Lonchura striata: one gene and its partners. The protein of the gene in region 1 purifies or fractionates together with the protein of each later gene. This does not show direct contact. Links are inferred from orthologs where the notes say so. Each region holds a gene or a part of one and is shown on either strand. Other genes may lie near its edges.

What was found.
Region 2: the proteins of EXOC7 (region 1) and EXOC6B purify together in Homo sapiens (affinity purification with mass spectrometry; 3 studies listed by BioGRID and IntAct, with this or other methods). This does not show direct contact. The link is inferred for Lonchura striata from reciprocal best matches to the Homo sapiens genes EXOC7 and EXOC6B.
Region 3: the proteins of EXOC7 (region 1) and EXOC6 purify together in Homo sapiens (affinity purification with mass spectrometry; 4 studies listed by BioGRID and IntAct, counting the BioPlex papers as one, with this or other methods). This does not show direct contact. The link is inferred for Lonchura striata from reciprocal best matches to the Homo sapiens genes EXOC7 and EXOC6.

Annotation. Positions count from the first base shown.
Region 1 is NC_134621.1:4,238,416-4,246,335, forward strand, and holds the start of EXOC7 (exocyst complex component 7), read left to right. Parts: upstream 1-4,913; 5' UTR 4,914-5,011; coding exon 5,012-5,071; intron 5,072-5,848; coding exon 5,849-5,914; intron 5,915-6,937; coding exon 6,938-7,122; intron 7,123-7,771; coding exon 7,772-7,877; intron 7,878-7,920. UniProt on the Homo sapiens protein: Component of the exocyst complex involved in the docking of exocytic vesicles with fusion sites on the plasma membrane.
Region 2 is NC_134606.1:947,749-955,665, reverse strand, and holds the start of EXOC6B (exocyst complex component 6B), read right to left. Parts: upstream 3,008-7,917; 5' UTR 3,004-3,007; intron 944-3,003; coding exon of another isoform or gene 583-943; exon of another isoform or gene 523-582; intron 1-522. Other genes in the region: homeobox protein EMX1, read left to right, coding at 583-943, 3,041-3,225. UniProt on the Homo sapiens protein: Component of the exocyst complex involved in the docking of exocytic vesicles with fusion sites on the plasma membrane.
Region 3 is NC_134609.1:17,132,830-17,140,109, forward strand, and holds the start of EXOC6 (exocyst complex component 6), read right to left. Parts: upstream 3,008-7,280; 5' UTR 2,944-3,007; coding exon 2,822-2,943; intron 793-2,821; exon of another isoform or gene 737-792; coding exon of another isoform or gene 654-736; intron 1-653. UniProt on the Homo sapiens protein: Component of the exocyst complex involved in the docking of exocytic vesicles with fusion sites on the plasma membrane.

The DNA of each region.
Region 1 (7,920 bases):
CAATGCAGGGGACAGAAAGTCCCCTTTATCCCCTACTATTAATTGAATTTCTCCAAATCTTGTCAAGATCACGCTTTGCCACCATAAAGGCAATCAGTAGAAATAGGAATTTGGGGGGATATCTGGGTCTATCCAGCAATTCGCTGCCAAGCCCCGAGCAGGCAAAGCAAAACCCCTCTCTGCCTCAGTTTCCCCCCTGCTAATCCAGCTCCATTTTCTTTCCAGTGGCATTTTTGGGTGGCCAACGCCCTGAACACGTTGTCCTCGGAGAGAAGTGACTGTCACGTCCCCGCCAGCAGGTGCCACTTCCTCATGCCTGTGGTGGTGCAAACTCCCGTTGCCGAACAACAGAGCTCCGACCCCGCAGCCTCCAAACCCCGGCGGCGCCGGGCTCCGATCCCAGCCGGAGCCTTGGAATTCGGAGCACTGGAACCAGTTTTGTTTAGCAAATGCACTAAAAGGGACTCGTTAACTCTCTTATTGCCAACCCCCAAGCGAGCACTGCACTGAGGATGCGATCCTTAGTCAGGCACTGCAGTGGTTTTGGTTTGCTAATTTGAGATTTTGTTAGTTTTGAGATTTTTTTTGGCTAATGTAGTGTTGAGTGTGGTGGGTTTAGCGCTGGTTAATCCCTAATGTACTAATTTTCTATTGTGAGGTGGGATTAGGAGAAAAGTAAAGTAGGTTTAAAACTTTAAATGGGTATAAAAAAATGATAGAAACTTATAATATTAAAAAATAAAATATAAAAAATATAATAATATAACAGTATAACATCATAATATAATATAATATAATATAATATAATATAATATAATATAATATAATATAATATAATTAACATAATTTAATAAAATAATATATATAATAAAATATAATAATATATAATATAATAATATGTAATAATATATAATAATAAAACTGAAAGAAAGCATAATAAGAATTAGAACAAAACCTTTAGAGTATTTCTCTTCTCTCAATAACTTTTTTTTTACTGATAATGTAAAGGAATAAAACTTAAAATTTTAGTCAGCTTATTACTTCTAAAATAGTCTTTTTGTAGCTCACTTAGGGAATAAAACTTTACATTTTAGTCAGCTTATTACTTCTAAAACAGTCTTTTTTAAGCTCACTTAGGGAGAGAAACCTTCTTGTTACTGTTATGGAGACTTCTTTAAAAGAAAAAAAAATAGCTTTTTGTGGCTCTCAGTTTCTTTATGACTGGTAGTTCTTTGGAGAAATCTGTAACTGTGAAGTGTTTCTTGTTTTACTACAGGCTTTTCTCACAGCTGGCTGAATTTCCCACCTTTTGTGCCGGTGCTGACAGTGGAAATCCCTTGTCCGGCGGGGGAAGCGGCGGCATTCATTCCCGTGTCCAGCGGCAGGCAGGGCTGGAGCCCGCGGGACGGCGGCGGGAGCGGCGGCGGGAGCGGAGCGGGGACGGGGCGGGAACGGGGCGGGAACGGGGCGGGAAGGGAGCGGGAACGGAGCGGGAACGGAGCGGGAACGGAGCGGGATTGGAGCGGGAACGGAGCGGGATTGGAACGGGAACGGAGCGGGATTGGAACGGGATTGGAACTGGAACGGAGCGGGATTGGAACGGGATTGGAACGGGAACGGAGCGGGATTGGAATGGGAACGGAGCGGGATTGGAGCGGGATTGGAACGGGAACGGAGCGGGATTGGAGCGGGATTGGAACTGGAACGGAGCGGGATTGGAGCGGGAACGGAGCGGGATTGGAGCGGGAACGGAGCGGGATTGGAACGGGAACGGAGCGGGAACGGAGCGGGATTGGAACGGGAACGGAGCGGGATCGGAGCGGGAACGGAGCGGGATTGGAAAGGGAACGGAGCGGGATTGGAACGGGAACGGAGCGGGATTGGAGCGGGAACGGAGCGGGAACGGAGCGGGATTGGTGCGGGATTGGAGCGGGACCGGAGCGGGATTGGAGCGGGATTGGAGGGGGATTGTCCCGGGACCGGAGCGGGATTGGAGCGGGATTGGAGCGGGATTGTCCCGGGAACGGAGCGGGATTGGAGCAGGATTGGAGCGGGATTGGAGCGGGATTGTCCCGGGAACGGAGCGGGATTGGAGCGGGATTGTCCCGGGACCGGAGCGGGATTGGAGCAGGATTGGAGCGGGATTGGAGCGGGATTGGAGCGGGATTGGAGCGGGATTGTCCCGGGAACGGAGCGGGATTGGAGCGGGATTGGAGCGGGATTGGAGCGGGATTGTCCCGGGAACGGAGCGGGATTGGAGCAGGATTGGAGCGGGATTGGAGCGGGATTGTCCCGGGAATGGAGCGGGATTGGAGCAGGATTGGAGCGGGAACGGAGCGGGATTGTCCCGGAGCTGCCGCTCCGCCGGTTGCAGCCCTGCTGGTCCTGCGGGCACTGGCAGCACGGGCGTGTGGTTTGCCCTGTGGTAGAACACGCTCTGATGCCTTGTGAAGAACAGACTAGAATAAATCGGGATTTATTAAGTGGCCTCAATAGATCCACCTCGGGCAGCACAACCCAAAATGGTCACAAATGCACTCTCTCACTTTGATAAATTCTGCTCCATTTGCAGATTGGAGTTTAACTCATGAAGTTCCATCCTTTTGTTTTCTCTCTTCATTCCATCTCTTGGGCCTGAGATTTGGATGATTTGTCCTTGGTCCCCAGCTGGGGAAAGATTTGTTTTGTCTCCCTACTCTGTACAGAAAGCTCACCATCCCCTCATATGAAACCTGCACTTACAAACTAAAGCAGAATAGAACCTTGAAAACCAGAAAAGCTAAAACCTGAGGCATCAGCTCAAACTGCAGCATTTGTACCCTTTCTTTTTCCTTTTACCCAAAATAACCCCTTGGACTCTTTCTGTTTGACCAGCATTATTTTTTTTTCCTGCTGCTTCCTTTTAGATGTGCTGCTGCACCTCACGTTTGCACAGAGTCCAGCAGTTTTTACACAATGCTGTGCATTTATTTCTGTATGTTTATTCACTCCTTAACATCCCACACAGCTGGCACTTGGGGTGGGTGTATCTCTCCGACTTTGCTCTAAGGGACTGTTGCTCCATGAGGGGTGAGGGGTCCTTTTGGGTGGGTTTTCAGGAAAGAAACAGCATTATTGGACAAAACACACACAACTGCTCCCCAGGGGAGGTTCCTTCTGGCTCGGGCTGCCCTTTGAATGAAGGGGTGAATGCTGGCAGAAAGAGCATGGAATTCTGTAAAGAAAGATATGGATCTGCTCTTCTGGGAGAAAGATCTTTCCCAATCACACCAGCCCAGTGTGGGGAAGCACAAAAGGTGCTGGGTGCTGAGCTTGGACAGGGATCTCCTCTCTTATACCCCCAAATCCCCTTTACCAGGTATCCCCACAAAACACAGGCAGGTGTTTGTGGCCACACAGGGGAAAAAACAGAGCCAGAGCTTGGGCACATGCGTGGGCAGCAGGACAGGGTGGGTTGTGAAATCCATTGTTGTATAAAAAAAATCTTCTCTCTGGAGCTCGGGGTGGCCTGACAAGGGGAAGATGGATGGGCACACACCAGTCCCTGCGTGTGGCAGGAGCCTTGGAGCGGGGCAGGGCAGCGGGAGCTGGGGCTGCAGGACCTGCAGGTGCTGGAGAAACACTCCCTGCTCTGGGCTTGGGTAGTTTAGGGACATGCAGAGCCCCCAGGGTGTGACACCCCGGCCATCCCCCCTGTGCTCTCCCGTGGGATAACCTTTCTCCCTAAGGGTGCAGGAGTTCACACTCACATTTTTATAATTTCACCTTCCTGAGCTCAAACCCCTGGCCTCCTCCACATCTGTTGTGCACAAATTCATATTTGTTACCCCCAGTGCAATAAACCAATTATGACACACTCAAGAGAGACGCTGATTATTTATTTCAGAGCTGAAGAAACCTGGGTGCTTGTTGGGACTCCACAAATCAAGCCATTACCACGGTCAAAACTTTTTACTATTTATGCATTTTAGCAAAGGAATTTGTGTTAATTGGCCGCAAGTTACATAGTTCTCCTATTAATGATTGTTATTATTCTATCTTCTGTTGGGAAATTATTCTCTTGTTTGCCACGCTAATTAGTCCATGTGCTCAGTCCTTCTCTTCTTTTGGGTTGGTGGGTTCCTTGGATCTGCCCCTGCTGAAATTACAGTTAGTCAGAGCTGATTTATCCTAATTGCTGAGTTGTTTTATAAGTTCCTTCCTTATCTTGGGGGTTCTGTCAAATGTCCTCATGGCCTGTAAATTCTGCCTTTTTTGTACCCACTATCAGCACATCCTTGTCCCAAGCTTTGTTAGCCTACCCCGAGATAATTTAAAAATGTCAAACCCTAAACCATAACAAGGCAATTCTACCAATATGCAGTTTGTTTTTCTAACACCTGCACATCACTTAGAACTTGTTGGCTGCTGTGTCTTTCCTGGATTAAATCTCCTTTATTGTCCATTAGGCTTGAAAGTACACAAAGATCAAACATCAAAGCACATCCTCTCTTAAGAAAATTTTACGCAACAGTGCCACGCTCAGGACGAGAGGACATAGCTTCAAGCTGTGCCAGGGGAACTTTAGGTTGGAGATGAGGAGGAATTTATTCACAAAAATTGTGATTAGACAATGGAACGGGCTGCTCAGGGAGGTGGTGGGGGCACTGTCCCTGGAGATGTTAAAGCCTGGACGTGACACTCGGTGCCATGTTCTGCTTGCCAAGGGGGTGTGGGGGCACGGGCTGGACCCGAGGATCTGGGAACCCAAATTAATTGATTTGGGTTCTGTGACCCATCGCGCCACTCCCAAGATGGCGGCGCAGCCCCTCCCGCCACCCCCGACATGGCCGCGGGCAGGGCAATGCGCATGCGCCGCCGCTCCCCGCGGGTCCTTCTCGCTCGGCGCCACTCTCAAGATGGCGGCGGCGCTCTTTGCGCATGCGCGGTGCGCGCCGCCGCGCCCGTCATGGCGGCGCGGCAGTGACGGGCCGGGCGCGGTGGGAGCGAGCGGCGGGGCGGCTGCGGCGCGATGATCCCGAGCGAGGAGGTGTCGGCCCGCAGGAGGGAGATCGAGGACAAGCTCAAGCAGGTGGGGGTGGGCTTGGGGCGCTCTGCGGGCGCTGCCGGGGCTTGGGGCCGGGCCCGCAGCCCCCTGGCGCTGCCGGGCAGGCGAGGCTGGGTCTGGCGGTCCTCACCGGGCCTGGGGGCGTCCCGGGACCCCTCAAGGCGCTCATCATCCCCCTGCTGGCTTGGGAGCACCCTCAGGTCCTCTTCAAGGCCTGGTTTGCAGGAATGGGGGTATCTCTGCTCCCCACTGTGGGCCTGGGTTTCCCCTCTGCGTTCTCGGCAGGGTCGGTGGGCTCTCCCCACAGTCAGGTTCTGTCCTGACAGGCTGCCATTCCCCTCTGCCTGTGGGCTTTGGGGTCCCTCCACCATCTGTGGGCTTTAATGACTTAAAACCAGCCCTTGGTGGCTGCTTTGCATCGGACACTTGAGTTCCCGGTGTGTTTGGAAGGTGCAGCACCTGTGTTGTGCTGTGGCAGGGAAATGTGTGCTGAGTCGTTGTGCCTCAATGGGAAAAGTGTTCATTTTATTTTGTGCTGTGTTTCCCTTTAATGCCCATAAAGGGAAACAGTGAATTCATAAACCTCCTGGCTCATTACATTATGTGTCCCCACCTTGGGTTACTTGCCCTGCTTTCTGTTAAGAGGTGGTAATATTAAAATGTGGCCACAGAATCAGCATCAGACCAAACATGGCTTGCAGCAGAGTTTACAAGGTTGGTAAAAACCTGTGTGTGCTGTTTAGTGACTTAAACCTTAGTGTTCAGAATTTTAGAGTAATTTCTTTTTCATCTTACTCGCAGGAAGAAGAAACTCTGTCCTTTATCAAAGAGAGCCTTGAGAAGAGTGACCAGCTCACCAAGAACATGGTAGGGATGTCCTTATGTTGGGCCTGGCTTTACTTTTTCTTAGGTTTTTAGGTTTATGAGTTTTCAAGGCTGTTGTGATGCCCATCTGAGGGATGTGGAGCAATGAACCACTTTGGACTTCAGTGACTGGGCAAAGGGGAAACCTGAGAAATGCTTCAATACTGAGCTTCTCTCCTGCTCTGCTGAGGGTTCAGATGAGCTGTTGGCCTCATCTCTGCTACAATCAGTCCTCTCTCTTGGGGAAAAAGTATTAAGAAACCTCAGATAAACAGCATCATGTTGTTGTTTCATAATTCAGGTTTTGTTTGGAGTTTTATTTTGCGAGTGTTCTGTGCAAAGATAAAAAGTAATTATTGTGTTGTAATTGCTTATAAGCCCTCAGTTTATATACTATGTCCAGTCTTGGTCTCAGTGCTTTAAAAAAGTCATAGAGGCACCACCAGAGAAGTGTGGAAAACATGACACAGGAGTGAGTCTTGTAGGAATTACCTTTGAGCCTAGAAAAGATGATTCTGAGGCACCCTTTTATGAGCTTGCTTTGGTTTTCCTCCTGTCAGCAGCACTGTCACGATCCTCTTTAAAAACCAAATGTCTGTGGTGCAAAAGAAGGTTCTCACTAGACTGGTACTTGTGCAGCTCCTGTTTGGGTCTCACTGTGGAGCAAAGGAGCTGCTGGTTTGTGATTTTGCTGCTCTTTTTACATGGGGCACCTCCAGGCAAGTTTCTGCGGCTTTATTTTCTGTTGGTGAATAAAATTTTGCTTGTCCTTTTTTCTGTCTTAGAACGTTATCTTCACTTTTTGGGATTGGCCCATCCCTATATGGCAGGTGATCTGTTTTGTGATTGTTAGTAAAAACTAGAACATAGAGGGGTGGAAACAGCTGCTAAGGAACCATGGCAAATTAGTAGCAGAGCCCAAAAAGAAAAGCTAGGCCTTGAAGATCCCTGACTTCCCTGCTCTAATTCCTACCCCACTCCATAGGAAGGAAGTCCTGAGCTGTTGGTTTCTCTCGTGGTGTGTAGGTTTCAATCCTCTCCTCCTTTGAGAGCCGTTTGATGAAGCTGGAGAACTCCATCATCCCTGTCCACAAACAGACAGAGAACCTGCAGCGCCTGCAGGAGAACGTGGAGAAGACCCTGTCCTGCTTGGATCACGTCATCAGTTACTACCATGTGGCCAAGGACACAGAGAAGATCATCAAGGAAGGGTGAGTTGAGCAGATAAATCCTGCTGGGAGCTTCATCCTGTTGGATTTTTGAGATAGAGGTGGGGGACCTGACTTCACACACCCTTGGTATGCTTGGTACCCTTCCCACATTCTTTCCTCAGTCCACACTGGCTTGACATTCAGCCATTTCCACAGGGCAAAGACAGCTCAGACTCTGTACTGGGATCTCTTCCAGATCTCTCAGAGGTGCTCCCATTGCAATCTCCATGAGCAGCGGTAGCTTTTCTGTTGTCTTCTGATCTTTTCCCAAAGCTTTTCCTTGCCCATTGAAGTTGTTACTACATCCAGGATGTACCAGAGCTGTTCTGGAGCCTCCTTGTCTGGGAGGGTGTTGGATGGTTCTTGTCTGAGATGGGATGTGCAGTTCCCTCTGCCTTCCATCAGGGCCTGTCTGGGAGAGGAAAGCAAGGCTGAGACTTGTGTGCTGCTCCATCACCAGTGCTGCTGCACTTGCTGTGTGGGTTGGGTATCCTGCTGTGGCACTGAGTGCAGGCAGAAGGGAATTCCTCCTAGCTGAGGAAAAGGGGATTGTTGTTTTTATCCCAAGTCTGGTCTGTTGCTTTCGTGTTATTTTGTTTGTTTGTTTGTTTCTTAGGGCACTACCTTTTATTTCTGGTTTTATTTTTAGCCCCACGGGGAGGTTGGAGGAATACTTGAATTGCATGGACAAAATCCAGAAGGCAGTGGAATACTTCCAGGACAACAACCCCGACAGCCCGGAGCTGAACCGTGTGGTGGGTCATGGACCTGGAACCTGTGGATGAGAGGGGGACAGAC
Region 2 (7,917 bases), on another chromosome or scaffold:
CCCCGCTCTCCCACCCCATCCCCGCTCTCCCATCCCATCCCCGCTCTCCCACCCCATCCCGGCTCTCCCATCCCATCCCATCCCCGCTCTCCCATCCCATCCCGGCTCTCCCATCCCATCCCGGCTCTCCCATCCCATCCCCGCTCTCCCGTCCCGTTCCCACATTCCCGGCTCTCCCGGCCCATCCCCGCTCTCCCGTCCCATTCCCACATTCCCGGCTCTCCCATCCCATCCCTGCTCTCCCGTCCCGTTCCCACATTCCCGGCTCTCCCGGCCCATCCCCGCTCTCCCGTCCCGGCCCTGCCTCGGGGCTCCCCGCCGGGCCCGGGGCTCAGGTGAGGCGGCCCCGCCGGTGCCGCCCGCCCGCGGAGCGGCCGCCCGGGGCCCGGGGCTGCGTGGGCGCCCGCGGGTGGGCGGCGGGGCGGGGGCGGAGGGAGGGAGGGGTGCGGGGCGCGGGTCCGCGTGTGTGTGCCGTGCCCAGGGGGAGGTTTCTTGCACACGCACGCACACACACACCGCACACACGCGCGCACCCGCAGGACCGGCCCCGCTCCGGCCCCCCCCCCGCTCCCGGCTCACACCATGTTCCAGCCGTCCGCGAAGCGCTGCTTCACCATCGAGTCCCTGGTGGGCAAGGACGCCCCCCTGGGCCCCGAGGACCCCCCGCGCCCCGCCGCCCTCGCCTACCCCGGCCCCGCCGCCGCCGCCGACGCCGCCGCCTTCGCCCCCGGCTTCCAGGGAGCCGCCGGCCGGGCCCTGTACGGCAGCGCCGAGCTCGTCTTCCCCGAGGCCGTGGGGCACCCGGCGCTGCCCGTCGGGCCGCCCCAGCTGGGGGGCTCGGCCCTGCCGCACCCGCACCCCTTCTTCGGGCCGCAGCACCGCGACCCGCTCAACTTTTACCCCTGGGTGCTGCGGAACCGCTTCTTCGGCCACCGCTTCCAAGGTGAGCGGGGCCGCGGGGGGCGCGGGCCGGGGGCTGCGGGGCCCCGGGGGCTGCGGGGCCGCGGGGCTCCTTCCCGGGGCTCGGGGGCCCGGCTGACGGCCAAGACCTGTTGCTGCCGTGCCCGCACGCACGGCCGCGGCCCCGGGCGCTCCGCGGCGGGGCCGGTGCCTCCGAGCAGCCGGTGCCTCCGAGCAGCCGGTGCTTCCGAGAACCCGGTGATTTCGAGCACCCGGTGGTTCCGAGCATCCGGTGGTTCCGAGCAGCCGGTGCCTCCTAGCACCCGGTGGTTCCGAGCACCCGGTGCCTCCTAGCACCCGGTGTTTTCGAGCACCCGGTGCCTCCGAGCACTCGGTGCTTCCGAAAACCCGGTGGTTCCGAGCACCCGGTGCCTCCGCACGCCCGGTGATTTGAAGCACTCGGTGATTCCGAGCACCCGGTGGTTCCGAGCACCCGGTGCCTCCGCACGCCCGGTGATTTGAAGCACTCGGTCATTCCGAGCGCTCGGTGCTTCCGAGCACCCGGTGCCGGTGCCTTTGCCCAGCCGCGGCCGGAGCGCTCCCGCAGCCCCGGGGCCGGGGCCGGGGCCGGGCAGAGCCCCGCAGAGTCCCGGCCGAGCATCGCGGAGCTCCGGGCGACGGGACCGGCGCCGCCGCCTCCGTGCGCAGCCGAGCCGGGAATTTGGTTTTCTCCTTCCCGGGAACGAAGGGAAGGATTTCGGTGCGGCGGATCTCGGCTCCGCAGAGAGATGTTGTTTGGTTCCGTAGATTTTCTTTCGATTCCTTTTCTTCTCTTAATTTCTTTCTTCTCTTTCTTTCTTCTCTTTCTTTCCTTCTCTTTCTTTTCCTCACTTTTTTGTTTTGCTTCTTTCTTTCTTTTTCTTTCTTTCTTTCTTTCTTTCTTTCTTTCTTTCTTTCTTTCTTTCTTTCTTTCTTTCTTTCTTTCTCTCTCTCTTTCTTTCTTTCTTTCTTTCTCTCTCTCTTTCTTTCTTTCTCTCTTTCTCTCTTTCTCTCATTCTCTCTTTCGTTCCTTCTTTCTTTCTCTTAATTTTCTCATTCTGTCTCTATATCTTGTATCTTTATTTTCTTTCTCTCCGTTCCTTCCTATCCTCTTTATTTTCCTTTCTTTAGCTGCATCTTTTCCTTTAGCATTTTCCTTTTTTTTTTTTCCCTCGTTTTTTTTTCCGCCCCGTTTTTCTTTTCTCTTTTTTTGCCTCTCCGTTTCCCCGGCACCGCCGTCGCCTCTGTCCCGCCGCGGTGCCGGGGGGTCCCGCAGCCCGGATTAGTTTTATCTGCTCGGCACCAACCCCTCGTTTGTCCCCGGGGCTCCGCCGGGGATTGCGGCCGCTGCCCGGAGCTCCGGCCCCGGGAGCGGCTCCGGGTCCCGCACGGCCCCCGAGCCCGGCCCGCCGCTCTCCCGAGCCCTCCCTGGGTCCTGCCTTCTCTCTCCGCCTTCAGTTTTCCTTTTCTTCTCTTGCTTTCGTTTCTTCCTACCTTGTTTCGCTCGCTTGCTCTGCAGCTTTCCTGCTCTCGTTCGTTATCCTTTGCTTCTTTCCTTCCTTTTCTTTTTTGCTTTCCCACTTATTGTCTCTTTCTTTCCGTCTCCTTTCACTTTCTTTTCCTTCATTTTTTCTTCCTCTTTCTTTCCCTCTTTTTAAAATTGCTTTCCCACTTTATTCCTCTCTTTCCTTGTCCCCTTCCCTCTTTCTTTCCTTCTGTCTTCCCTCCACATTTTTCTTTCTCAGTTTTCCTTCTCTATTTTTTCCCGTCACTTCCTCAGTCTTCCTCCTATTTTATAATTTCTTTTTCTCTCCGTCTCAGTTTTTTCTCTGCCTCCCACCTCCTTTTCCTGCTGCTCTCTCCATCCATCCATCCATCCATCCATCCATCCCTTCTCCCTCTCATTCTTCCTTTTTCTCTCCCTCCCCTCCCTTTGGCGCCGCGGGGCTCAGAGCATCCAGGAGGGAGAACGCGGCACAACCGCCGCAATTTCGGAGCGGGGAGCGCTCCCCAAACCCCGCAACTCCCCTCCCGTGTCTCGGGGCCGGGAAGCCGGGCCGGCAGCCGCCGGGGCCGCGCTGAGCTCCGCGTGTGCCCGCAGGGAGCGAGGTGTCCCAGGAGAGCCTCCTGCTGCACGGCCCCTTCGCCCGCAAGCCCAAGCGCATCCGCACGGCCTTCTCGCCGTCGCAGCTGCTGCGCCTCGAGAGGGCCTTCGAGAAGAACCACTACGTGGTGGGCGCCGAGCGCAAGCAGCTGGCCAGCAGCCTCAGCCTCTCCGAGACGCAGGTACTGCCCCCGGGCCCGGCCTGGCCCACCTGGGCCATCGTGTGTCCCACTGTGTCCCCACCCTGGGCCATCGCGTGTCCCACCCTGTGCCACCTGGCCCATCGTGTACCCCACTGTGTCCCCACCCTGGCCCACCCTGGCCCATCGTGTGGCCCACCGTGTCCCATCATGTGTCCCACCGTGTCCCATTGTGTGTCCCACCGTGTACCCCGTGTCCCACCCTGTCCCACCTGTGCCACCTGGCCCACCGTGTCCCACCTGGCCCATCGTGTACTCCCCTGTGTCCCCACCCTGTCCCACCGTGTCCCACCATGTTCCACCGTGTCCCCACCCTGTCCCACCTATGCCACCTGGCCCACCATGTCCCACTGTGTCCCACCATGTCCCCACCATGTCCCCACCCTGTCCCACCATGTCCCACCGTGTCCCACTGTGCGTCCCACCATGTCTCATCGTATGTCCCACCTTTGCCACCCTGTCGAACCCTGTCCCACCATGTCCCACTGTGTCCTACCTGTCCCATTGTGTGTCCCACCGTGTCCCCACCGTGTTCCATCGTATATCCCACCGTGTCCCACCGTGTCCCCACCGTGTCCCCACCGTGTCCCCACCTGTCCCACCCCGTCCCACCGTGTCCCGGCCCTGGCAGCGGCACCAGCCCCGCTCAGCGCTCCTGTGTGAAGCCCCGGCCGGGATTGCCCAGCACCCCCAGATGCTGCGGCTGTTCCGGGCTCCTCGGGGCGGGTTTGGGGTTTTTTGGGGCAGCTTTCGGGTGTTCCAGAAGCTGGGGCAGGTTTGGGGCTGGGGATGCGGCTCTGGCGCTGTCCCGGCTCTCCGGAGCGTTTTCCCGGCGTTGTTTCTCGCTGGTTTGGGGTTTTTCCCTGGGAGCAATTTGTGGGTTGGAAAATCCTGCGTGGAAAGGAGCAGCAGCCCGGAGGCTTCCCCGGAGAGCTGGAAACCCGTGGCTGAGCCGAGCGGCTCCGGGGCTCTGCTCCAACACCCGGAATTCTGGATGGGTGTGGAGACGGTGCTGCCGAAGGGCGCCGGCTTTGGATGAGACTTTCTGGGATCAGAATCCCCAGGAATTGAGATGTAAGGAGACCCAGGAGAAGCAGAAGGATGAAAGGAAAAGTGCACAGAGCCGGGGGAGAACGTGGGAGCTGGGGCTGAGCATCTCTGTGTGTCCGAGCTGGTGTTCCGGTGAGCGGCTGTTCCCAAACGCTCCGGGAGAAGGAGTTTTATTTCCCGGGATATTCACCCAGCAGCTGAGCGGAGTGAGAAAGTTTCCCCCAATTTCTGGTGAGGCGGTTGGGCCTGTGCGCTGAATCAATTGAATTTTTAAGCTTCCATTTAGTTGGGAAATGAAGCTGGAGCCGTGGGTGTTCCCAGTGCCCGCCTGGCCCGTCCTCGCCCCGGCTCTGCCAAGCAAAAACCTCCAGACGCGCCCCTGGGAGCGGGAAGCGCCCGGGAGGAAAATGTCCCCGGCACGGGGACAGCGGCGAGGAGCGGCTGGGGATGCGGGGAAGCAGGGACGGAGCCCCAAAACCCCCGGCTGTCGGGGTCCCGGGGGTGCTGCTGCCCCGAGCCGCAGCCCGCCGCTCAGCGCGACCCTCCCGGCACCTCCCGGGCTGGAATGGAGAAAAAAGGGGAAAAAAGGACAAACCCCAAAGGTCAAAGAACAGCCGGCAACTTGTCGGGGTGGAAAGGGCAGCTGCGGGATGCCCCAGGGGCAGCTCACCATTCCCCAGCACTGCCTGGAGCCTGAAGGCAATAATTCCATTTACTGGGGAAATGCGGCATCCAACCCCAACCCCGGGGAGGTTTCAGAGCGCCAAGAGGCCGCGGGGATATTTGAAATGTTGGTTTTTGTCTGCTGCAGCCTGTTTGGTGGCGCGGTGGTTTTGGCATGGTTTTGGGAAGCTGCTGCTGCTGGCCGGGACCGGGGGAGGCGGCGGCGGGGCCGGGCAGGGCTCCGGCCGCGGGGGCTTCAGGCAGCGCGGAAACGCTTTTCCCTTCTGTTCTGTGGCTTTGCAAAAATCATTTTTTAAAGAAAAATTTGTTCTAATTACCTGGAGGGAAATAATCGCAGTGTGCCGAGGGATGGGAGACACCCGGGTATTGGGATGGAGGAGCGGGACAGCCAGGGGCCGGTGGCTGTGCCAAACCCAGGATATTATTACTGTTATAATCATTATTAATTCAATATTCGGTGATAAATCCTGCAGGGAATCAAATTTCCACGGAAAACCAGCCCGCTTTACCCACGACACCCATCCTGGTGTGCCACAGGTGTGTTTTCACCTGGGGCTCCACACCCAAAGCCACAGTTTGGGGGGGTTTGCCGTTTTTTCCCGGATTTAACAATTCCCAGCCGGGCTGCAGCTCAGGGCTGTGCCTGGCCCTGCTTCCCAGCGGCTTTTCCCTCTGGAAAAGGGAATTTTGCCCCGCGGGCTGTGCCAGCTCCGGGTCCCCAGCCAGGGAGCAGCACCCGGAGCAGCCCAGGGGAGGTGAGAGGGGCTCGGGTCCTGCCCAGCATCGGGAAATGTTTTGGGATTTGGGTGGGGGGATGGCGCCGGGGTTTAACCCCTTCCCAGCCGCTGTGCTACGAGGAGCTGCATGAATTCGGGGTCAAATTCGAACAGCAGGCCCGGAAGAGCAAAATCAAAGGGGCTGGGGGAGCAAAAGGCAGCTCGGGGCCCGGAGGGAAATCCAAAAGTGGGATGGGCAAGGCGCAGAGAGGGCTCCGGAGGGAGTGTGGGACGCTCTGAGCCAGGGGAGCCACCGGGGGGTTTGGGTGGGATGGGGACACGGGTGTGACCCAGGGGGCATCGAGAGGGGTGTGGAGGGGGTTCTGGGCAGGGTGGTGGATGTGGGATCAGCAGGATCCCAGCCCTGTGCTGGCACTGAGATCTGCAGGATCCCAGCCCTGTGCTGGCACTGAGATCAGCAGGATCCCAGCCCTGTGCTGGCACTGGGATCAGCAGGATCCCAGCCCTGTGCTGGCACTGGGATCAGCAGGATCCCGGGCACTGTGTGGGATCAGCAGGATTCTGGGAACTGTGGTACTCTGGGATCAGCAGGGATCTGGGCACTGTGTGGGATCAGAAGGATCCCGGGCACTGTGTGGGATCAGCAGGATCCTGGGCATTATGGTACTCTGGGATCAGCAGGATCCTGGGCACTGTGTGGGATCAGCAGGATCCCGGGCACTGTGGTACTCTGGGATCAGCAGGATCCCGGGCACTGTGGTACTCTGGGATCAGCAGGATCCCGGGCACTGTGGGATCAGCAGGATCCTGGGCACTGTGGTGCTCTGGGATCAGCAGGATCCCGGGCACTGTGATGCTCTGGGATCAGCAGGATCCCGGGCACTGTGGGTGCTCTGGGATCAGCAGGATCCCAGCCCCTCTGGTGCTCCAGGATTTTGTGCCGGGCTGGGATCTGAGCTGTGTGCTGGGAATGGGACGTGCCGTGTCCTGCCGGGGTGGGCACGGCTTGGCAGTGCCAGCGCCGGGGGCACCAGGTCACTTCCCCTGCCAGGGGAGCAGCCGGGGCTGGGAAGGCGCTTCCCTGGATTCCCCTGGCATCCGGAGCCAGAATTCCCAGCAGAGCCGCTCCAGGCCCGGCAGCTCGTGGGGCCAACCCCACCTGGGACCCCAAATCTGCATTCCCAAAGCAGAGACCTCCCCCGGCTCCTGCAGAGGGAACTTTGGGGTGCTTGTGGGGTCTCCAAGTGTCCTGGTGTCCCCTCTCAGCTTTGGGGTGATTATGGAATTACTGGATATCCCAGTGTCCCCCTCAAAGCCTTGGGGTGATTATGGAACCCCTGGATATCCCAGTGTCCCTCAAAGCCTTGGGGTGATTATGGAACCCCTGCATATCCCAATGTCCCCCTCAAAGCTTTGGGGTGATTATGGAACCCCTGGATATCCCAGTGTCCCTCAAAGCCTTGGGGTGATTATGGAACCCCTGCATATCCCAGTGTCCCTCAAAGCCTTGGGGTGATTATGGAACCCCTGGATATCCCAATGTCCCCCTCAAAGCCTTGGGGTGATTATGGAACCCCTGGATATCCCAGTGTCCCTCAAAGCTTTGGGGTGATTATGGAACCCCTGGATATCCCAGTGTCCCTCAAAGCTTTGGGGTGATTATGGAACCCCTGGATATCCCAGTGTCCCTCAAAGCTTTGGGGTGATTATGGAACCCCTGGATATCCCAATGTCCCTCAAAGCCTTGGGGTGATTATGGAACCCCTGGATATCCCAATGTCCCCCTCAAAGCCTTGGGGTGATTATGGAATTACTGGATATCCCAGTGTCCCCCTCAAAGCTTTGGGGTGATTATGGAACCCCTGGATATCCCAGTGTCCCTCAAACTTTGGGGTGATTATGGAATTACTGGATATCCCAGTGTCCCCTCCTGGAGCTGCCCCTGCAGGGACAGAGCAGCCCCGGCCAGGGGCTCGGTGCTGGCTGTAATTAATAATTAATAATTAACAGAGCAAATGCCTGGGAATCACAGGAGGAGAAAGATGCCCAGATAGAGCAGAGCGGCCCCGTGAGAAGCCCCGGGCCGGCAGTGTCCCCTGAGAAGTGTCCCCAGAACCAAACCCGGGAGGTTCTGGGGTGTTTCAGGAGGAGAGTCCCCGCAGGGACAGCAGGACAGGCGGGGGTGCAGCGCTGGCCCGGGCCG
Region 3 (7,280 bases), on another chromosome or scaffold:
GGCATACCAGAAATCTTCTAAACACCGTCACATTTCCAAGCAAACTGACCAGGGACTAGTAGGTATCAGACCGCATCATTAGAGGTTGCACAGTGGAGCAATACAACACCCACCCATGATTCGGTTTCGGCCCCGTTCTCAGCACAGAGCCGGGGGTACCGGCACACCCCGAAGCTGAGCCGTGCCCAAGGGCGGGCAGCAAAGCCCGGCACTGGGCACGGCGGGCGCCCCGAGCCCGGCCATCCGCGCCGAACCAGGGCCGCGCCGTCCCGAGGCCGCACGCCAGCCCCGCCGGAGCCGGGCCGTGCCCAGCTACTGCCCCGGCTGACAATGCCAGGGAGCGGCCAGCCGGAGCTCGGCCCCCCTTCCCTGTCAGAGCGGCGGCACGGCTTGACAGCCCCGCTCCCTGCCCGCCGCAGCGCCCGGGACGGGGGCCGGCGGTCGGGCCCCCACGGAGCGGCAGCGGGGCTGCGCGTCCCCTCCGCACCCGGCGCGGCCGCTCCCGCCGGCGGCGCTGCGGCGGCCCCGCGCCGTCCCCGGGGAGCGCCTGTCAGAACGCGCGGCCGGGCCGCGCCGCGGCTCCCCGGGCCGGCGAGCGGGCAGGGCGGGGGAGCCTCACCCGCCGGCGGCGCCGCGGCCGCCGCGCCCCGCACCTCAGGGTGGGTCCCACGCAGGCCGTGTCGGTGCTCTCGATCTCCTGCAGGATCCGATCATGCTCGGGGAGACTGTCCGCCATCTTGGATGGGAGGGACCCGCCGGCCGCGCCGCTGCGGGAGACGCCGAGGGAGGAGCGGCGGCGGAGCCCGGCGGGGGCCGGCGGCAGCGGCCGGGGAGGGTTTGCCGGTGCGGGGGGCAGGGGCAGGTGGCGAGGCGCAGGTCGAGCCGGGCCGCGCCCTTCGGGTTTGCACCGGCTCGGCGGTGCTCCGCTGCCCTTGTCACGGCAGGGCTAGGCCGGGGGAGTCCGGCAAAGCCGCTCCGTCCCCGCGGCATCTCTGAGCGCTGGTGTCCGGCAGAGACCGCGGGCGGCTGCGCCCGCCGGGCCTCAGCCCCTGCGGCCCGCTCAGGGCTCTGTGGCAAACGAGGGACGCGCAAAGTGCGGCCCCTGTCCCGCACGGGCCGGCTGCCCGCCCACCGCACCGCGCTGCAGAGACGCCTTGAAGGCTTGTAGGGTTCAACACGACCTTTTCCACTGAGCTAGTTCTGGTTTGGTCTTGTGGCTAGTTCATGGTGTGGTCTTGTTTTTTTATTATTATTTGGTTTGTTTTGATTCGACCGCTCCCGCACGTGCGGGCTGTGCCCGTCCCGGCAGGGAGGAAGGCACCGAGCCCTGAGCTCTGCGGGGGTTTCTGCATTCACGTTATGTCAGTCTTCATTCCTTCCATTCTTTACGTGATAGAAACTTGGGGGTCGGGGTAAAAATAGAACAAAACCAAGACAAAAAAAAGTTTTGCACCTTTATATGCAGTGGCTTGCTGTTTGACTAGAAACTGACATAGTGTTTCCTAATGCCTTGTACAGCAAAGCGTCTTGTGTCAACGAAGGAGGAATAACCTATTTTCTATTTAAATTTTACACTTCGTGGCCTGTGGCCAGGGATTAATTAATTCTTGGGTTTTGCATGTTCAGGAGACAGGATGCACCTGCTTTCTGGGCAAAATGATCTGCACACAAGTGGGAAGTTCTTGTGAAGAAATAGGCCAGATATGTAAAACTTCAGGGTGATGTGTAGCTACATTTTCCAGTAAGGAACTGACAACATTTGACAAATGTGAATGCATCAAAGTCTACAATTGCATTTGGCATCCTTCCAGTTATTGTTATCAAGCCCATCATCTCTCCTGCCCTGGTGCAACTACACCTGTACACGAGTTAATAAATGGCACCGAAGACAGTGCACATCTTGTCTATGCTTGTGCCTATATCATATTCAGTGTTGATTCAGGTTGTTGATTCACCTACTAAATCAACAAGGACTATTCTGAATGTAGACAAGTGCTTACAAAGTGCATAATTAAAAAAAGGGAAAAATCCTACCACTTGTATTTCCTTCAAGAAATTACTCAAATGCTGTAACAGTTTTCCCACGTTTCTTCTTTTTTTTTTTCCCATCACCAAAATACTGAAGTTATAGATTGACACATTTTTCAGGGTATATTTAATTTTCTTTTTTTAGCCTGATCGTTAATGCAACCTGACGCCTACAGTGCTAGGCAGGCTATTTTTAAAACTCTTCTACAAATACTGACAATATACTGAGACAAATTACATTGCAATCTTATATATATTACTTTTTAAAGGAGAAATATGCAGAGGAATTTCTTCAGTTGCACTTTTACCATTAAACAGTTTCCGTAAGCTACAAATAAAAAAAAAAAAAAATCTTCAGCTATTTAGAAATATCAGCAGTAAAACCTTAAGTAGTTCTGTCTTTGGTGATTAAACAGAAGTTTCATTTATTAAAAATTTAAGAAGCACTTAATTCTTTAAAAATGTAGCTGTTAACTTTAAACTTAAAACACTGTTACGCAAAAAAGAAAATTTCACCTTGTTTTCATTTTTGAGAACACTTTCTTTTTTCACAAATCTGCAGCCAGCCATCAGAAACAGATCAATTTGTCCAGGTGAAAAGAAAGAGCAGAGTAGGTGACCTTGGTTTGTAGTTTTTCACTTAGGGCCAATCACATTGAAATTAAGCTCAACTTTCTGGTAGGCTTCAGGGTCAGGAAAACAAAGTTTCTAATATATTGTGCTGACTGAAAGAACAACTATAGAATGGAACACATCCATCATAAAGAGTATAATACTAAAAAAAGAAGCATACCTTAAGGTGGTTCCAAGAGGCAGCTCAAAGGACTGGATCTCAGCAAGGGCATTTTCATATATCTGATCTTTATTTTCTTCTAGATAAAATTCTGAGAGATTTGACTTACTTTTCCTTGCCATAGAGTAGGATAAAACTAATCTAACTTTAGGAGAGGACTTTTATTCTGATTATTATAGTTGACTAAGTGACCGTAGTCAGCAAAACCAAGCATAAAAAAAAAAGATCCTGTGCTAACCTCGTGACTCTTGAGGACTTTGTGTCCAAGAATGGTGCACAGCTGCTCTTTTCCTGTCTGCTGGTATCATTTGCCTCTTATGCACTACCCAGGGCTGCACAGTCTCTTTTGTGTGTGTGTGCCTAATACATATTAGTCTTAACAACAAAATTCCTGCCAAAATAATATTTTTGCATTCTTGAAATAAATATTAAACCTGAAATTTAGGCGTTTTGAAAACACAACTTTAAAGGAATTTTAGACACTAGACATCAATGCTTAATTACTCTGATAAGTTTTATGAGATTATTTTTTTTTTAATTAGGTTTTCCTTTTGCTATATAAAAAGCTTGCACACAAGGACTTAGCTGGATTTATGAAAAAGATTTATGGATCTCCTAAAGCAGATTAGAAAAACAGAAACATTTATGTTCTCATAATTTTCCTTTTCAGCATTAGTAGTTGCTATTTATAATAATAAATTGCAGAAAAAGCTTTGTGATAACTGTTGGGTTTATATGTGTGAGCAAAAAAAAAAGCTGTTACTAATTTATTACCTGCATGGAAAAAAATGGATAACAAATGTTGAGAGTAGTGCTGCTGTCACATCATTTTCATGATGATGGCAAAGAAAACACTTTGCACAACTGCCATGGATTACTTTAATTTCAAACATGAGACTGGAGTTCTAGATCTTTAAGTTTAAACAACTGTTTAGAAGCCTAATTCAATATCATTTGGATAATCAATATATTTTGTTTTTTATAAATATTTCAAAGGTTTTAATCAGAATTTGGCTCCTGATCTCAGTGCTGTCCTGACAGAATTGATTAATCCAGACACTCGTGGTGCAGTCAGCAGTTAAGTGCAAGGAAACAGAGCTTACTCACTTTTGAGCAGAGTGATAAACAGTTTATTCACTTCTCTGTGCCCAGTGGGAACAATGAGGAGATGGGTTCACATCAGTAGCAGTGGGAAGGAGCACTAAAGGTTGCAGTGAGTTAGGGCTACATACAGATTTGCAATGTTTTTCCTTGAACAAGCTGCTTTAACCACCGGTTTATTTTTGAACCAAAATTAAGCAATTGCTCTGTTAGCATTATTATGCAATACATTTCCTGCTTTCATGTTCTACGTGGAATTGTGAGTAATTTTTACACTTTTCACCAGAAATGAGAGCCTGCGATTGACCCATTCAGCCACTGGATGTCACACAAACGCAGATGAAGGGAATGATGTTGAAACTACTCATTCTAATCTTAACAGTCACCAGATTCAGAATTAATTTAACAATTATGAGGTGACACTGTGCAAGTAAACTGTAAATACTATAACAAGCTTAAGCTTATTCGTGTGATGGAAGAAAGTACATCTACTGCCACTGTGGAAGAGCAGAGGCAGGGCAGGTAAATCAGAGGTGCCTCAGACATCTACACCCAGCCAGCACACACTGTGGCTGGCAATCAAAATAGAACTCAGTGATGGAAGCATGACGATTTATACAAAATGCTTTTATGAATACGTGATTTTAAATTAGTTCAATTCTTACAGAGGCTTTGGGTGAAATTTCTTTTTCCTCCTCTTCCAAAAATTTAAACAGTAGCTTGCTTTAGGAAATCAGCTAACCAAAATAAACAGGACTCTGAATCTGTTGTGCAAATGTTCTTGTTGGTATCGCAGCTGCCTGGAAATAAATATGTTTAATAACAAAGCAAAACAATGTAAGAAGAAGCAAACAAATACAAAGGTGAATGACCAAGAAATAGGCAGATGTTAGAGTCTCTTCAGTTGTGGCAGAGGGTGTTGAAGTACCTTGGTTCTTTGGACAGGATCAGACCAAATTGCACCAGGCCTGGCTGCTCAGCTCTCCAGGGTGTTTTTCACCCCCACTGAACCTAAGACCATGACACCCAGAGGATGATCCAAGGTGCAGTGGTGGATCTGTATCTGACCTGAGATCATGGGCAGCAGTACATTAACACCTGCCAAAAGCCCTTTCTGCTGCAATGACCCTGCTTCTACCCTGTGCTGTCTGTCCAGCCTCTGCTCCCCTTCCCCACTTCTGTCATCTGCTCCTCCCCACCATAATTCCAGTGCTGATTAGATGTGCCCAGCATCTACATCTTTCAGTCACACAGGAGCTTTTCCTGTTTCCAGCTGAGCTCAGGGCCACTCTCAAAAGGTTTAGGGAACTGCCTTGTTCAAGGAAATAAAGTATTTTTTGTAAAAATACAAAGGGACAAATTCAGTATAGGCACTTGACATCCGCTTCTGGCAGAACAGTGTATCTTTGCTTCACAACTATACACAACATACTTGGAGGCTACAACTAAATAGTTTGTCACCAAAGACAATGCTAAGTAATTTTTTTCTCCATGCAGAAAAGGACAGTAGACATTATCATTTCTGAGGTATCATACTTGTACTTGTTCAGATTTAACCAAGTTAAGAAGCCTGAGAAGGTATTAATCTTCTAGAAGTTCCTGGCAGAAAAATAAGAAGGTATCTTCTGTGCTGGTTAAATTCACACTATTTCTGTGAAGGAAGTATTTCATTATCTGGATAGGCAGAAATCTCAGGCCCTGTAAGATGTAGAGCTGTTGCCATCTTTCCAATCATCCTGAGGTTTTCCTTTGAAAAAATGATCCAAAGCACCTATTTCATGCTGAAGGTGTAAAAACAGTTTGCAGCTCAGAAGAGAGCAAGAGGGGAAATTGAGGCAAATTATCAACAATATTGTGAAACAGGATGCAAAGGCTTGTCTAAAGCAAAACCACTTTCACCACGTCCTTTCTCCCCTTCCTCCCCTAATTCCTACTCTTCCCCAACCCTAATGAGATACCAGAGGGCCAAGAACTGCTGGTTTAAATCTTGCCTGCCTATGTTGATACTTTAAAAATACATTTTACCCACATGACCTTACAAAAAGTATAAAGTGCTGTAGAGTAGGGTCCTTACTGTGTATGCAATTCCAGTGTAGATTACTTCCTTTTTTTACAATTGCCAGTACACAATTAGCAGCTTTGAGTCTGTTTCATTTGCTTTCCCAGTTGGATTGGAATCCATTTTGAATGAATCATGGAAAAGAGAGAAGAGGGAAAATGTCCACCCTCAAATGGAATTACTATAGATAATTTTCACATGCAATGCCATCCATAACAAATTACTTCATTGGTCATTGCCCAGATATCTCCTCTTTACATCCCTCCACAAGGACAACAATGCCATTAGTCATTTCTCTGGCATCTCCTGCTCTGCTACTGCTTTCTTTCCTGGGCTCATCCCCAGACTGGATCCTTGCAAACCAGCTCTTTCTCCCTAGAAACTGAACTGCTCCCATTCCCGTTGTGCCTGGTTTTCTGGTGGCCAGACCCATTTCTGCCTCTCAGATGAAGCATGGTAGCAACAACCTTATCAAATGATTCTTGGGGAAAACAGGCAGATGAGGAGATGATGGAATTACCGCTGCCATTTTTTACCTTTTAACTTTTTGCCTAATATATAGTGAGTACATTAGGTATTAGCAGGGAGGTTACCTTTTTTCTTTCCAGAGCATTTAAGTGAATTATGTTTTCTGAATTGTAGTCAAAATCATAAATACATTGACTTTTTCGTTTTAATTATACTAGATTTATGAATTGGACAGTGTACGTAACAATCTTCACTAAAATACCAAATAAACAATGTTCTATTTCACATAGGGGCTTTTTATGGTAAATTGTAAGAACAGCACATATCTCTCCTGTTAGGTGTGCAGTGCATCACTAACTGCTTTTGACATTTCACTGACATCTTACAAGTGCCTAAAAATACTTGGAGAGATCCACAGCTGGTGCTGATGTTATCTTTTTAAGAGTCAATAAAGGCATCAAACCTACTGGTTGAACAGAAGCACTTCTGTCTGACTGCAGTGGAAAGGAGAGTCACTGTCATTGCATGTGTTTATATAATGCTAGAGATGCCATTGAAGAACAAGTACTATTTCATTTTCATTGCAACATACAAACCATATTTTTTTAGCATACCGTTTGAATGATGCTACAAAGTAGCATCTTTATCATTCTAGAAATGCATAAATGCATTCTACAAAACACTGATGCATCTTTTTCTCTCTGCTTACCAGTACTTTTAAGGAACAGGCATTGACTAAAACCCTGAGTCAAGGACATGCCCTGGGAGCCTGAGGGCTTTGCTTCTTTATAGGCAGTGAAGAGCTCTATTACAGATATTGCCCTGGAGGAC